2 linked regions of the Drosophila melanogaster genome follow. The protein of the gene in region 1 interacts with the protein of each later gene in a pairwise test. Each region holds a gene or a part of one and is shown on either strand. Other genes may lie near its edges.

Region 1 (5,414 bases):
CAAGATTCTGGATCTGAATGTTTGACGCACAATTAAAAGCCAACTTGATTGCACGGTTCATATTCCATGTCACAAGGGATTTGCTTTCAAATTAATAAGGCCCTGACACAGGGTTCAAAATTAATACTTGTTTTAATGCCAGCTCTATTTGCTGCAAAAAGTGGCTCTTCAAGGGAGTGAAATACATCATACAAATGTGCACTATTAATTAAATAAAATAGCGTTAATGCTAATTAACACATGCTAAAGTATTTTTTACGTTGGTATATTCGGTTTGACAAAGAACGCCATCATCTATCAACTATGGGTGTTAGTTCAATTAACTTTAATCACCATTGGATGTCAGGCCTATTCCAATTACCAATGGCCAATTGGCTTTTGACAGAGGCTGTTCTCTCTCTGCTTTGGCCCGATATCGTTTTCCCATTTGACAAAATAATAATCGCGTGTGGATCACTCTTGACTTCCCCCCCATCGCAAGCCCCTTATTACATTATTATTATTATTATTGGTACTCGTCTGCATGTCTGGAATTTAATTTTTTCTGGCATTTACAAAACACTTCAACCCGTTTTGACAAGAGTCGGCGATGACAGCAATTACCATACGATTTGCATGACGTTTATGTTTATTTTCGCTTTGTATTCCCTTCCAGGCGGCAATCGTGAATATTTTGCCCAGCCTTTGTGTTCTTTTGGCCAAGTCGAAAAGAAGCCAACCTGCGAGTGCTCAGGTTGATTTCGATTTTGACAGCTGCCTGCCTGACTCACTCCACTGGGCTGCCTCGCTGTTCGCATTTTGGCTGGATTCGCATTTCATTAGCTCGTTATGGACCACCTACGGCCAGGCCGGGCCAACTGCTGACAGAGGAGCACCCTCTGATCCCCACCCATGGTTTCGTCCATTTGGCAGACCCACAGCGAAGCAATTAAGCCGCCTGGCATCGAACACAATCCCGTCCAATGGGGCAATTTAAGGTATTTACAAAAGCGTAAAAAGGTAAGGAAAACAAGACTGGCTCCTCCCAATCAAAACATGACGAATGCCACTCGAGGCCCTCTCCGAGATGTCAATCGTTCAAGTTTAAGTCGATTCGACCGAGGAACGCTCCGCTCCTTCCTCCTAACTGACCGTAAAATGAAATCTTTAAGTTCTTCAAGGGAACTCTGCAGCTTCGGATGAGAATACATACATATATGATATACTCTTGTTAGGGTTTTTTTTTTTTTTATTGATATTTCATCGTTGAATATGTTGAAGCAAATGAGCAAAAATTGTATGAGCCACATTGAGAACTAGTGAAACTTCAAGTGGGAAATTTAACAGAAGTATACTGAGAAATTTAAGAAGTCTACACACTTGAACAGCTTTCATGGGATATACATGTTTTCGAAATGCGATCTTTGTTTTAGGCAAAGGTTTTTCCGCCATTGTCGTCGGCAACGTCGTCGTCGTCGTCATCAAAGTCCTTGTCCTGAATCTTAAAGTAGGTCATGGCGAAGGTGTCCTTGGCCGTGGACACTACCCGCAACCAATCACGCAGGCTGACCTTCTTCAAATACCGTTTGGTCAGATACTTGAAGTAGCGCTTGGAGAAGTGCACACCGGAGTGGATGATCAGCGAGAAGTTCTTGGTGCGCTCGAAAGTGACCTGATCCTTCAGCTGGTTGAGCTTGTTCTTTATCTTGATGTGGGTCTTCAAATACTGCTCGAAGTCGGCGAGGTCCAGGATCATATCCTCGGCCACGCATGCGCAGTCGATCACAAAGCGTTGCCAAGCCTTCTTTTTGGCCAGCCTTTTTCCACGCAGAACATTCTTCGTGCGTTTCGGCTTGGGCTTCGGATTTGCCGGAGTGGCGAGGCTCTTTTTTACACTTTTAGCTTTGGCTGCTGGAACCTCGACATTTTCGGCTTTTGGTGCTGCGGCAGCTTGTTCCTTGGGCTTTTCTTGCACCAGGGCGGCCTTTTTGGCGGGGACAACCGTGGGTATTTCCGCATTGCCACGTTTAGGAGGCGCAGACTTTTTCTTATTGTCCACCTCAGGGGCAACGGGTTCCGGCACTTGCATCAAGTTCTTGCGTGAAGCATTCTGGCCTTTCTTCGCCTTCGAGACCAACTTCTGGTCAGCAGCTTCGGCGGCCTTCTTAGCCGATTCTTTCATGGCCAAATCGAGATTCTTTAGTGCCACGGCCGGAGCTTTGGCCACCTTTTTAGAGGACAAAGGCGGAGCCGCAGATGGGGTGGCGGTTTCTACAGGAGTCACCTTAGCCGGGGCTTTCTTCGACGGCTGTGGGCCCGCCTTCGATTTGGCCTTGGAAGCATTCTTTTTCTGCGTCTGGGAACTCATTCCTATATGGCAAAACATGAGCACACGCCTAAAATTTTGAAACAATTAACTTACTCCAAAGAAATTAGTATCAAAAATAGGTTTAGAAACACCACGTGACTTCCTCCGTTGAAGTTTGGCAGGAAAAGAATTAGAGTGGCCAAGTGTAGCAACAATCAGAAAGTAACTGCATTTGCGATCCGTGTGACCTTGCTCACAATCGACTGTGCTTACGTAGAATGCGAATGCCAATTATTCGATTATCTTGGGCGGCATGTTTGTGAAAAAAAAACAGGAAATCTTTAAGTGAAATCACGAGAAATGAGTGTGGAGCAGGTTGGGATGTTGACGCTCTGATTTAACGCTGATTAATTGGCACGAAATTATTATTACCGCTTGTCAGCCGGGGATCAATTTGGCCTTGTTTGTCGTCTCGCCTCCAGTTCGGCCTCAGTAATTTGTAGTTTTCATATTATACCAGCTCCCTTTTAAGCTCTTTTATTATAGGGTATTGTGGTGGATCGAAATCGATTTAAACTTGCGCACACAGGTTCGAGATAAGTTACCAAAGTGGAATCCACATGAATCCACAGAGATAGCTCAACTTTTCCCAATGCTAGGCAAATTGAATTCCGAAAGCCTGTTTAAAGTGTCATCACCTTCCACTCTCTTTGTCGGCCAGTTCATTTATTTCCGAGTTGTACAAACATTTAGCTATCGCTTCAATATTTTTTAAGCCACAAGGAAATCCCTAAATTGCATAACATATCGCTTTGCAACGAGCGCCATTTATCAAATTCAAATGAAAGAGTTGGCCACCAACTGGGATTTGGGATTGTGGATGGGAGATGCCACCTCCTATCGGCAGGAAAAATAAAAAATAAAAACAAAAGCAAAAAGTGCAAGCCAAAGTGAATTCCCGCGGAGCGTTTAATCAAAACTTACCGGCGAACGCGTTCGCTGACAATGAGAAATTGCAACAAATTCGCGCTACATCGAAACCTTCTCCCTCGTGCTGTCTCTTTCTGTCTCGTTGCAGCCGTCTCTTTCGCTTGCCACTGCCAAGAGCAAACAAGGCTTAAAAAGGATGGCAGGAGGGGCGGGACAGGGGTGTCGATGGCAGCGCAAACAAAGCGTCGCGGAACGTCCAAAGAAATGCAGCGATCACGTATACGCACCCCTGGCCACCGAAACATAACCCAAGCCCATCTATCCACCTTCTCATACCCTAACAGAGGGTATTACTATTCAAATGGACTTTGGATCATCCTAAATTGTTTATAATAAAAGAAGAAACCAAAAGAGTGAGATTTAGGGCGACTTTGGTACATTTATATGACCTTTCCATACTCGCAATAGAGATTGGAGAAGTCAACCCTAGGGTATTTCGGGTACGTACCACTGTTTTTCCAACGCCGCATGAAGCTCCTGCAGTTAGGATGCTACTCGATTTCCCAGCCGCCGACTGGATATTGTTTTCTGGTAGTTTTGGTTCTTTTTTTTTTTGGCGGTTTTGTTTCGGTTGCGGATATGAAAAATGATGCCGAAACGATTTTTACAACCAAAAGCGCTCCCAGGCGCAGCCTCTTGCCGCGTCCTCCTCGCGGATTCGGAGATGCAGAGATTCGGAGGCAGGTAGAAGCAAGTGGAGTACCTCCCGCTCACTGCGAGCACTCGAAGTTGATTGATGGGCCCGGCATTGGCGATTGGGCGATGGGAAAACTGCAACGGTGGGCGTGACGGCCCTCCGCCCCCTGCGAAAAGTGGGAGGAATGATCGGCGGAGTCGTGCGGCTTCTGGCCCGAAATCAATCTGGCTAAACGGTAGCAAATGGGCGGATGGAAAGCGGAAAATGGGATTGGCAGTGCGGAGGCGTCTTTGGCCTGGGAGTTTGCCTCGTTATGGATGGCAACGGCTGTCCAGGGACATCGATCACTTCGACATCAGGTGGGCAGGCAGGCAGCACGATCTTGCGAGGAGTCCAGACGGCAGTCATGTAGAGTGAAGGGGCGGAAAATGCTTTTAAAATGGTCTGATTTATACCGGGAATTTGCGTGCCAATTAAAATGATCTATGATACATATGTAAACTAACAGATTAATATATGGGTTATTAATATTTTTCGATATTTTTGCATCTAGAATCCGTTTTCTGCCTAGGAAAATGTTTATTTGTGGCTGAATTAATGGGTCCCATGGGTGGTCCCAAACCAATACCAATAAAATACCATTCGAATAGATCTTACCAAGCTCTTAACACCTTTATTGCCATAAATTGGCAAGCTTAACGAAACTGCTCAGGCTAATGAAATGCAAACCGCCAATTGAGATAGAAAATGCAAATGCATGGCCCAGCAGAAAAGAGTTGCCAATCTACCAGCCACAATATACGAGTGCTCTAGTTGGCCAAAAAAATAAGGCGAAACGATTACCAACTGACTCAGCCAGGCCAAAATTGGCAATGTGCCAGCCAAAATAAACAGTTATTGAGTTGACTGTTTGACACTTCCCGCTGCGATAGCCCAGGGAAACTGGGAACTGGATACAACACCTGGTAGGTGACTCCACACCCACACTACATCCGATTCCTTTCCCGTTCCAGGCGCTCTATTAATTAAATTAATTTCCAATATAAATTCAAATGGGCAAAGCGTGCCCGCTTACGAGTTCTAATTGGGCGAGTGCGAGTCAATTAGCGGCAAGAAGGCGGGAAAAGCGGGAAAGCCCGCCCATTGTGAGCCAGTAAGTCAGGATTGTCGGAGTTTGAAGTTGCAGAATGGAAAGTCGGTTGCGGGTGGCGAGACCTAATTGTTTATTTATGGAAAGGCCTTTCGCAACTCTTTTGCGTTTGGAGCAAGGGAAGGGGAACGGGCACACATTTCATTAATCACGCAAATGCTTATCGCCTGACCAGCAGTAGGAGCTGCTTTTCCTCGAAGAGCCCAAGTCAAATCGTGGCCATAATTTGTCTGACTTGCTGGAAAAGCAACGGAGAGCAGTGTGAGTGCGAAAATGCGCCTTGCATGACCAGACCAGGCCCCATACCAAAACCCAAAGTCCAAGCCGAAGCCCAAACCACTCATCAGAAT
Region 2 (5,802 bases), on another chromosome or scaffold:
TGCCCGAGAGTTTCGGAACTCTAGTTGAAGTCAGGGAATGTTTGCAACTGTAAGCTTAAAGTAAATAAACTAATTCGCTCCAGGCGAATACTACTAATAATAGCTTACTAATTTATGCAAATTAATGCAATTTCGGATGTTTCTGAACGCAAATCCTAAGTATTTACTGATAAATTAGTTGTTTCTCTTTTAGAAGTTGTGGTTTAAATTAAAGTAGTCATTCAATTGTTAGCCTCTTGACCAGACCTTCTCACTCCCGTCCCTTTGAATGGCCTTTTGCTCTACTCCTGCTCCTTTTCCTCTTCATCCTGCAGGGTCTGTGCCAGCAGCTCCTCGACGGGGTCATCCTTCAGCGACTGGGTGATCTTTTCGAGGACCAAAGGCTGTCGCTCGCGCACCGCCTCATCATCTTCCTTGTCCAATTGCAGGCAGGCCAGTTTGGATAGCCTCGAATGTTTGCTGCGTCCAGCATCGCGTCGTCGCTTGCGGGATGTGGACTTAGTTTTGCCCCCTTCTCCAGTCTTACTCTTGTCCTTCTTCTTGGCTTTCAATTCCTTTTTCGTCGCACCATCTTTGTGATCCCTGAGCAGATGTCTCGCCAGATTCTGCGCACTGCTGAAACAGCGGCCGCAGTCCAAGGCCTGGCACTCGAAACGCCTGCCCGAGTGGGCGGTGAGCATGTGCTGGCGTAGATTCCTGAGGTACGAGTAACTCTTGCCGCATCCCTCCTCGTTGCAGGTGAAGGAGGTGGCGCACTCATCCGTCTGCGCCGCCTCCTTGTGCTTCACCTCGAGGTGACGCTTCAGTTCGCTCGGCTTGTCGAAGGCACTATCGCAGCGGTCGCACTTATGGCGATTCTTGCCGTGCAACGAGTCGCGACAATGCTTCGTATACAACGTCCATTTGTCGAACTGCAGCGGGCAGCCGGGACACTCGTACAGCTTGCAGCTGGGCTCGTGACTCTGGCACTGCCACTGCTGGTAGAAGCCGCGCGAGCACTTCGAGCAGCTGTACGGATACTCCAGCGTGTGCTCCCTGATCTCGTGGCGCTTCAGCTTGAGCTTTTGCGAGAATTTGGCACTGCACTGGCTGCACGGATAGACCTTTGGGCTCTCGTGGGTTTCGCGCATGTGGCGGGTCATGTTGCTAACCGAGATGAACATCTTGCTGCACTCCTCCAGCGCGCACTTCACCGTCTTCTTGGCCGCCGACTCCGGACGCTCGTGGGTGCTGCGCAGATGCCTCTTTAAGTGCGTCACAATCGAGTACGTCTTGTCGCAACCCTCGTACGAGCAGGCGTGCTTCTTCTGCAAAGTGGTGGCGGCGTTACTACTGGCTTACACTTAACATACTCTAACTATACTCACAATCCCTGTGTGATGATACTCATGGCGATCCAATTGGTCCAGCCGCTTGAATGTGGCCTCGCATTTGGGCATGCTGCACGCGTACTTGGCCGAGCCGATGCTGTTGCGGCGTCCCTGGCGCTGCTTGAACTCCTCCAGAGCGGTCTCCATATCGCTGTCGCTGGCAATTTGCGTTCCAGGCGGCATTTTTGAGGGTTTTTATCTCCGAAATATTGCAATCTCTTTTTTTTTTGTGTTTTAGGTTACCGCGACATCCGCAAATGTCGTGGAATTATTTGGCCACACTCGTGTACGTGGAAATAGCCAAGGACTTAAGGTTGAAGAGATTGATTTTATTTCAATTTGGTGTAGCAAATCTATAACTTATAGGTTTCTTTTAATTTGGTGTAGAAAATCGATGATGTCCCTGGTAAGCGTTTATGATTTCGTTTTTGGAGAGATGGTAGATTTTTTGGTATTTTTCCAGGGCTGGAAATTGCTGCCTAGCAGTGTTGTACTGCAACAACTGAATAAGATGTACGATACGTTATCGAAAACGTTACATTGGTCACATTATTATTCATTTATTCAAAATATAATTGTCACATACGTTATAGCTAAGATTTTTTTTAATGTGCCTGGGAAAAGTTTGCAGTAACCCCGTTGTTTATTTGCAGAAAATTCTGCGTATTCCTTTTCCCAGTCTTTTTGAATGATTCTGTTTAATTCTCCAACTCACTACGGTGAAAATTCCTTGCGTCGATGCATTTAACAAATATATGCTTGTTAGTCCCCCGTCTCAGAAACTACAATCAAGAATTGGTCTGAAGACGAGTATAATAATATTCTATATAGACAAGCAGTCAGATACGCCTGAGAAAAAGGAAATTCAAATTTCATTGCACTAACGTGAGCTAGTGATGACAAAAACGGTAATTGGCTCAACTATCGTACCGGTGTGCGGTACCTATCGGAATTGGAATCAATGCTGGAAAAGGTAACTATATTTTGGTACACGGTATTTTTAAATTTAAGTACTGAAATTAACTAATATTTATTTAATTAATATTTTGTGCGATTATTAATACCAATTAAAAAATATTGATCGATAATCTGGAAAAAAATGCACTTGATATTTAAGATATTTGAGAAACTGCAAACAGTTTCAAATTGTCCGCTCTTGCCAGCTGCGGAGGAATTTCCCCATTTCCCAGTTTGGTCACATCGCGCTGTCGAAAGAAAATTTTTTTCTTGCAAAGAGAAACAAAGCAAAGCAATAGTCGAAAGTGAGAAAGACGAAAGAGGAGACAAAGGAGCGAAACGGAGAAAATCAGAGAAGCAGCAAGCAGAGCAGGAAGGGGGATTGGATAGGAACTCGAAAGCAATCGGCCAGGATCGGGAACAGGATGAACAACGGATTCAGCACCGGCGAGGAGGACAGTCGCGGGCACACGGACCAAACGTGCTGCCTAATCGACGACATGGAGCGGTGTCGCAACCAGGCTGGCTACGCCAGCTACTCCAAGCGCATCCAGAAGACGGTGGCCCAAAAGCGGCTCAAGCTCAGCAGCGATCCGGCCGCGCAGCACATTTACATCTGTGACCACCACAAGGAGCGCATCCAGTCGGTGCGCACCAAGCGTCGGCGCAAGGACAGCGAGGACGACAGCAACGAGACGGACACGGACCTGCACGAGTTCCCCGATCTCTACCAGCTGGGCGTGAGCACGCTGCGACGCTACAAGCGCCACTTCAAGGTCCAAACGAGGCAGGGCATGAAGCGGGCGCAGCTGGCGGATGTAAGTTTGACCTAGTTAACGAATTGAGCAGGCTATGTCCACTTTCTGTTGCCGGATTTCAGTGGGGTAACACGCTGGTCTAATGTGCTCCGTGATGCTCCATAGTTGGCCCTCTTGTAGTAGCCTCCACTCTAAAGAAAAGGCAGAAAAATGTGCCATGCCCTTTATAAGGTTTTCTAAACCCTGTTTTAATCAAGTTGCAAACCTCTACTCTTCTCCCGCAGACAATTATGAAACACTTCAAGACAATACCCATCAAGGAGAAGGAGATCATCACATTCTTCGTGTACATGGTGAAGATGGGCTCGAATAAGCTGGACCAGAAGAACGGCCTTGGCAACGACACCACCTGAAGGCGCGTCGGCGGGCGGAGGGAGGAGGAGGACGCCGACGACGTCTACTCCTTTTAACGCTGGCCAACTGCCGATCAAAAGAAATTAACAACCAAACTTCTCACATTGTTGCTGCATTTGCTGGACGTCGGCATTGTTGACCAGAATAGGGATGAACGAGAATATTGATAGTGCAATGGCTCATCCTCATCCGTGTGACCCCCAAGAAACCCAATCCTATACCCATAAGCCACCACTGCCCAAACCCTTAAGCCTTTCCCCCGACTCCCCGGAACACAAGTAATATGCGAAAAGTAAAACAGCAATGAAAGAACGTAAGGAAGAAGGCAACTGGTGCTCCCACGAAAAACAAAACAAACAAAAATTAAAAATAAATAAACTAGTATGTTGCGAAAGTGAGTCTAATATTAAAAAAGAAATTTACAAAAACTATTTGTAGCCTTGGTCCGTTGTTAATAGCTCTTTATACACGCACTACATTAAATAAACTATGTAAATTTACAAGAGAATTAACAGAAAACACAACACACTCAATCAAATAGCAATTCGTATTCTTAGGCTTAAAGACATGTTTATTTGATCGTTTGTATTATACATCATGTTAAGTGAAGTGGGGCTCTGGCTAGACATCAGTTAGTAGTAACCAGATACTTTAAGCGAATCAAAACACAATTAGACTTCAATGTGAAAGCAAATTGAATCCGGAAGCCAATACCAATTATCGCTACAAACAGAGAAATAACGAACGAAATAATTTGCAATATTTAAACTAAAACATCGTGTCGTTTGCCCCGGCGGTTTGGAGATATATTTAGAGCTCTAGTTTAAGCCTAACTTAGACGAACATCGGTTCCACAAATCAATTGGAATTACGCATTAAACGATTTATGTTAAAGCCTAGACTGATTTTAGCCATACATATAAGCCTAAATAAAACTTAATAGAAAGCATTTTCTCTTAACTACACGACTATCACAACGGCTAGATGTATCGCTTGGCTTCCTCCTCGGAGTCGCTGTGATCTGGAGAAGAATCAATGCGTTATTAATGGGACTCCAGCCATGATTGCCAACTTACTTTGCTTCCTCGGCGGTGTCTTTTTGTTCGCCTTGTATTTGCCGCGACTTTGTTTGCCTTTAAGGCCTGCCTTCGATGGGCTTGCTTCCGAGCGCATGGGCAGTTCCTGGGAGTCCTCATCGTGTGGCAGCCAGTCGCTGGTGTCCATCGGTGCGCCAGCACTTTCCTCTTTGGACGGCTCTTCGTTGGCCACAGGCGTCTCACTGCTCTCGTTATTATCCAACTGCATTTTCTCGCTTGGCGGAGGTTGCTGCTCCTGTTTCTGTCTGCCCATCAGTTTGTTGTAGCTCAACTTGTGCTCCGTATTTAAAATCAGTGCCACCAGCCCATCGACCGATTGATCGCCCTGCGATCGACACTCTTCGTCCAGCGCCAAAGCTTTGCGTACGAAATTCAACAGAGACTTGCAACGAACCGCCGCATTGCGGGCACACTGCATGATGATGCGGGCATTTGTGGGTGCAGTGCCTCCGGCAGTCAGGCTGCACAGCTCCTGGAAGGAGTTAAAGCTCAGGACAATTACCGAATCGGCGGCGTTCTCCTCCAGCAGCGTAGGATCCAGTATTGGTTGCACACTGCTCTTGTAAACACAGTAGGTTACACTGACGGGATAGTGGTGGAAAAGCAGTGGAATGAATTCGCGCTCCTTTTTCTTAAAGATGCGCAGTTCGCCGTCCTTATACCAGACATCCGGTCGACGGAAGTGCATCAATGCAGCCAAAGTGGCTATGGTGCTGGCGTCTATAAGAAAGAATTGAGATATATAGATATATAAAAATATAAAACTAATATGAAGATTATTCTTTAAAAATGAAAGTATGGCCAAAGTATGGCTCCAACTGATAGCTTTTGATCATTTGTGAGGTAATCACGCTTTTCATCTTGAGATTGGTGCTTTTACCATACAGATTCCCGTCGTGATTGAGCACATTGACGTTGACACGGATGCACCACACATGCTTCTCGACGGCCACGCACAGAGATTCCAGATCGATGCTTCTAGAGCTGCGGAAGGTCCTCTCGAGCAGGGAGTTCAGTTTTAGCGATCGCTGGTCATGTGTGGTATGCGCCTCGTCCAGAAAAGCAACACCGCCAAGATATACGTTCAGGTGGATTTTGCCTTCGTTGGGCCGCGACAAGGCCGGCGGTCCCATTTCGCAGGTCACTTGGGCCAGTACCTTCGTATCGCCCATGGACACCGCCACGGAGCCCCAATCCTTGCCGAAG

Evidence for each region. The genes of interacting proteins can lie anywhere in the genome.
Region 2: the proteins of RpL22-like (region 1) and Sap30 interact in a two-hybrid assay, tested with the Drosophila melanogaster proteins (one large-scale study listed by BioGRID).

What each region holds. Positions count from the first base shown.
Region 1 is NT_033778.4:23,245,377-23,250,790, forward strand, and holds RpL22-like (ribosomal protein L22-like), read right to left. Parts: upstream 2,518-5,414; 5' UTR 2,402-2,517; intron 2,350-2,401; 5' UTR 2,348-2,349; coding exon 1,409-2,347; 3' UTR 1,234-1,408; downstream 1-1,233.
Region 2 is NC_004354.4:16,785,198-16,790,999, forward strand, and holds Sap30 (SIN3-associated polypeptide 30), read left to right. Parts: upstream 1-2,085; 5' UTR 2,086-2,343; intron 2,344-2,487; 5' UTR 2,488-2,752; coding exon 2,753-3,145; intron 3,146-3,369; coding exon 3,370-3,498; 3' UTR 3,499-4,447; downstream 4,448-5,802. Other genes in the region: CG9609 (uncharacterized protein), read right to left, coding at 282-1,307, 1,368-1,553; Rrp45, read right to left, coding at 4,480-4,520, 4,576-5,316, 5,477-5,802. UniProt on the Drosophila melanogaster protein: Component of the class 1 Sin3A-histone deacetylase (HDAC1/Rpd3) complex (HDAC). Appears to be a non-essential subunit of this complex which is not required for cell cycle regulation of progression through the G2 phase of the cell cycle.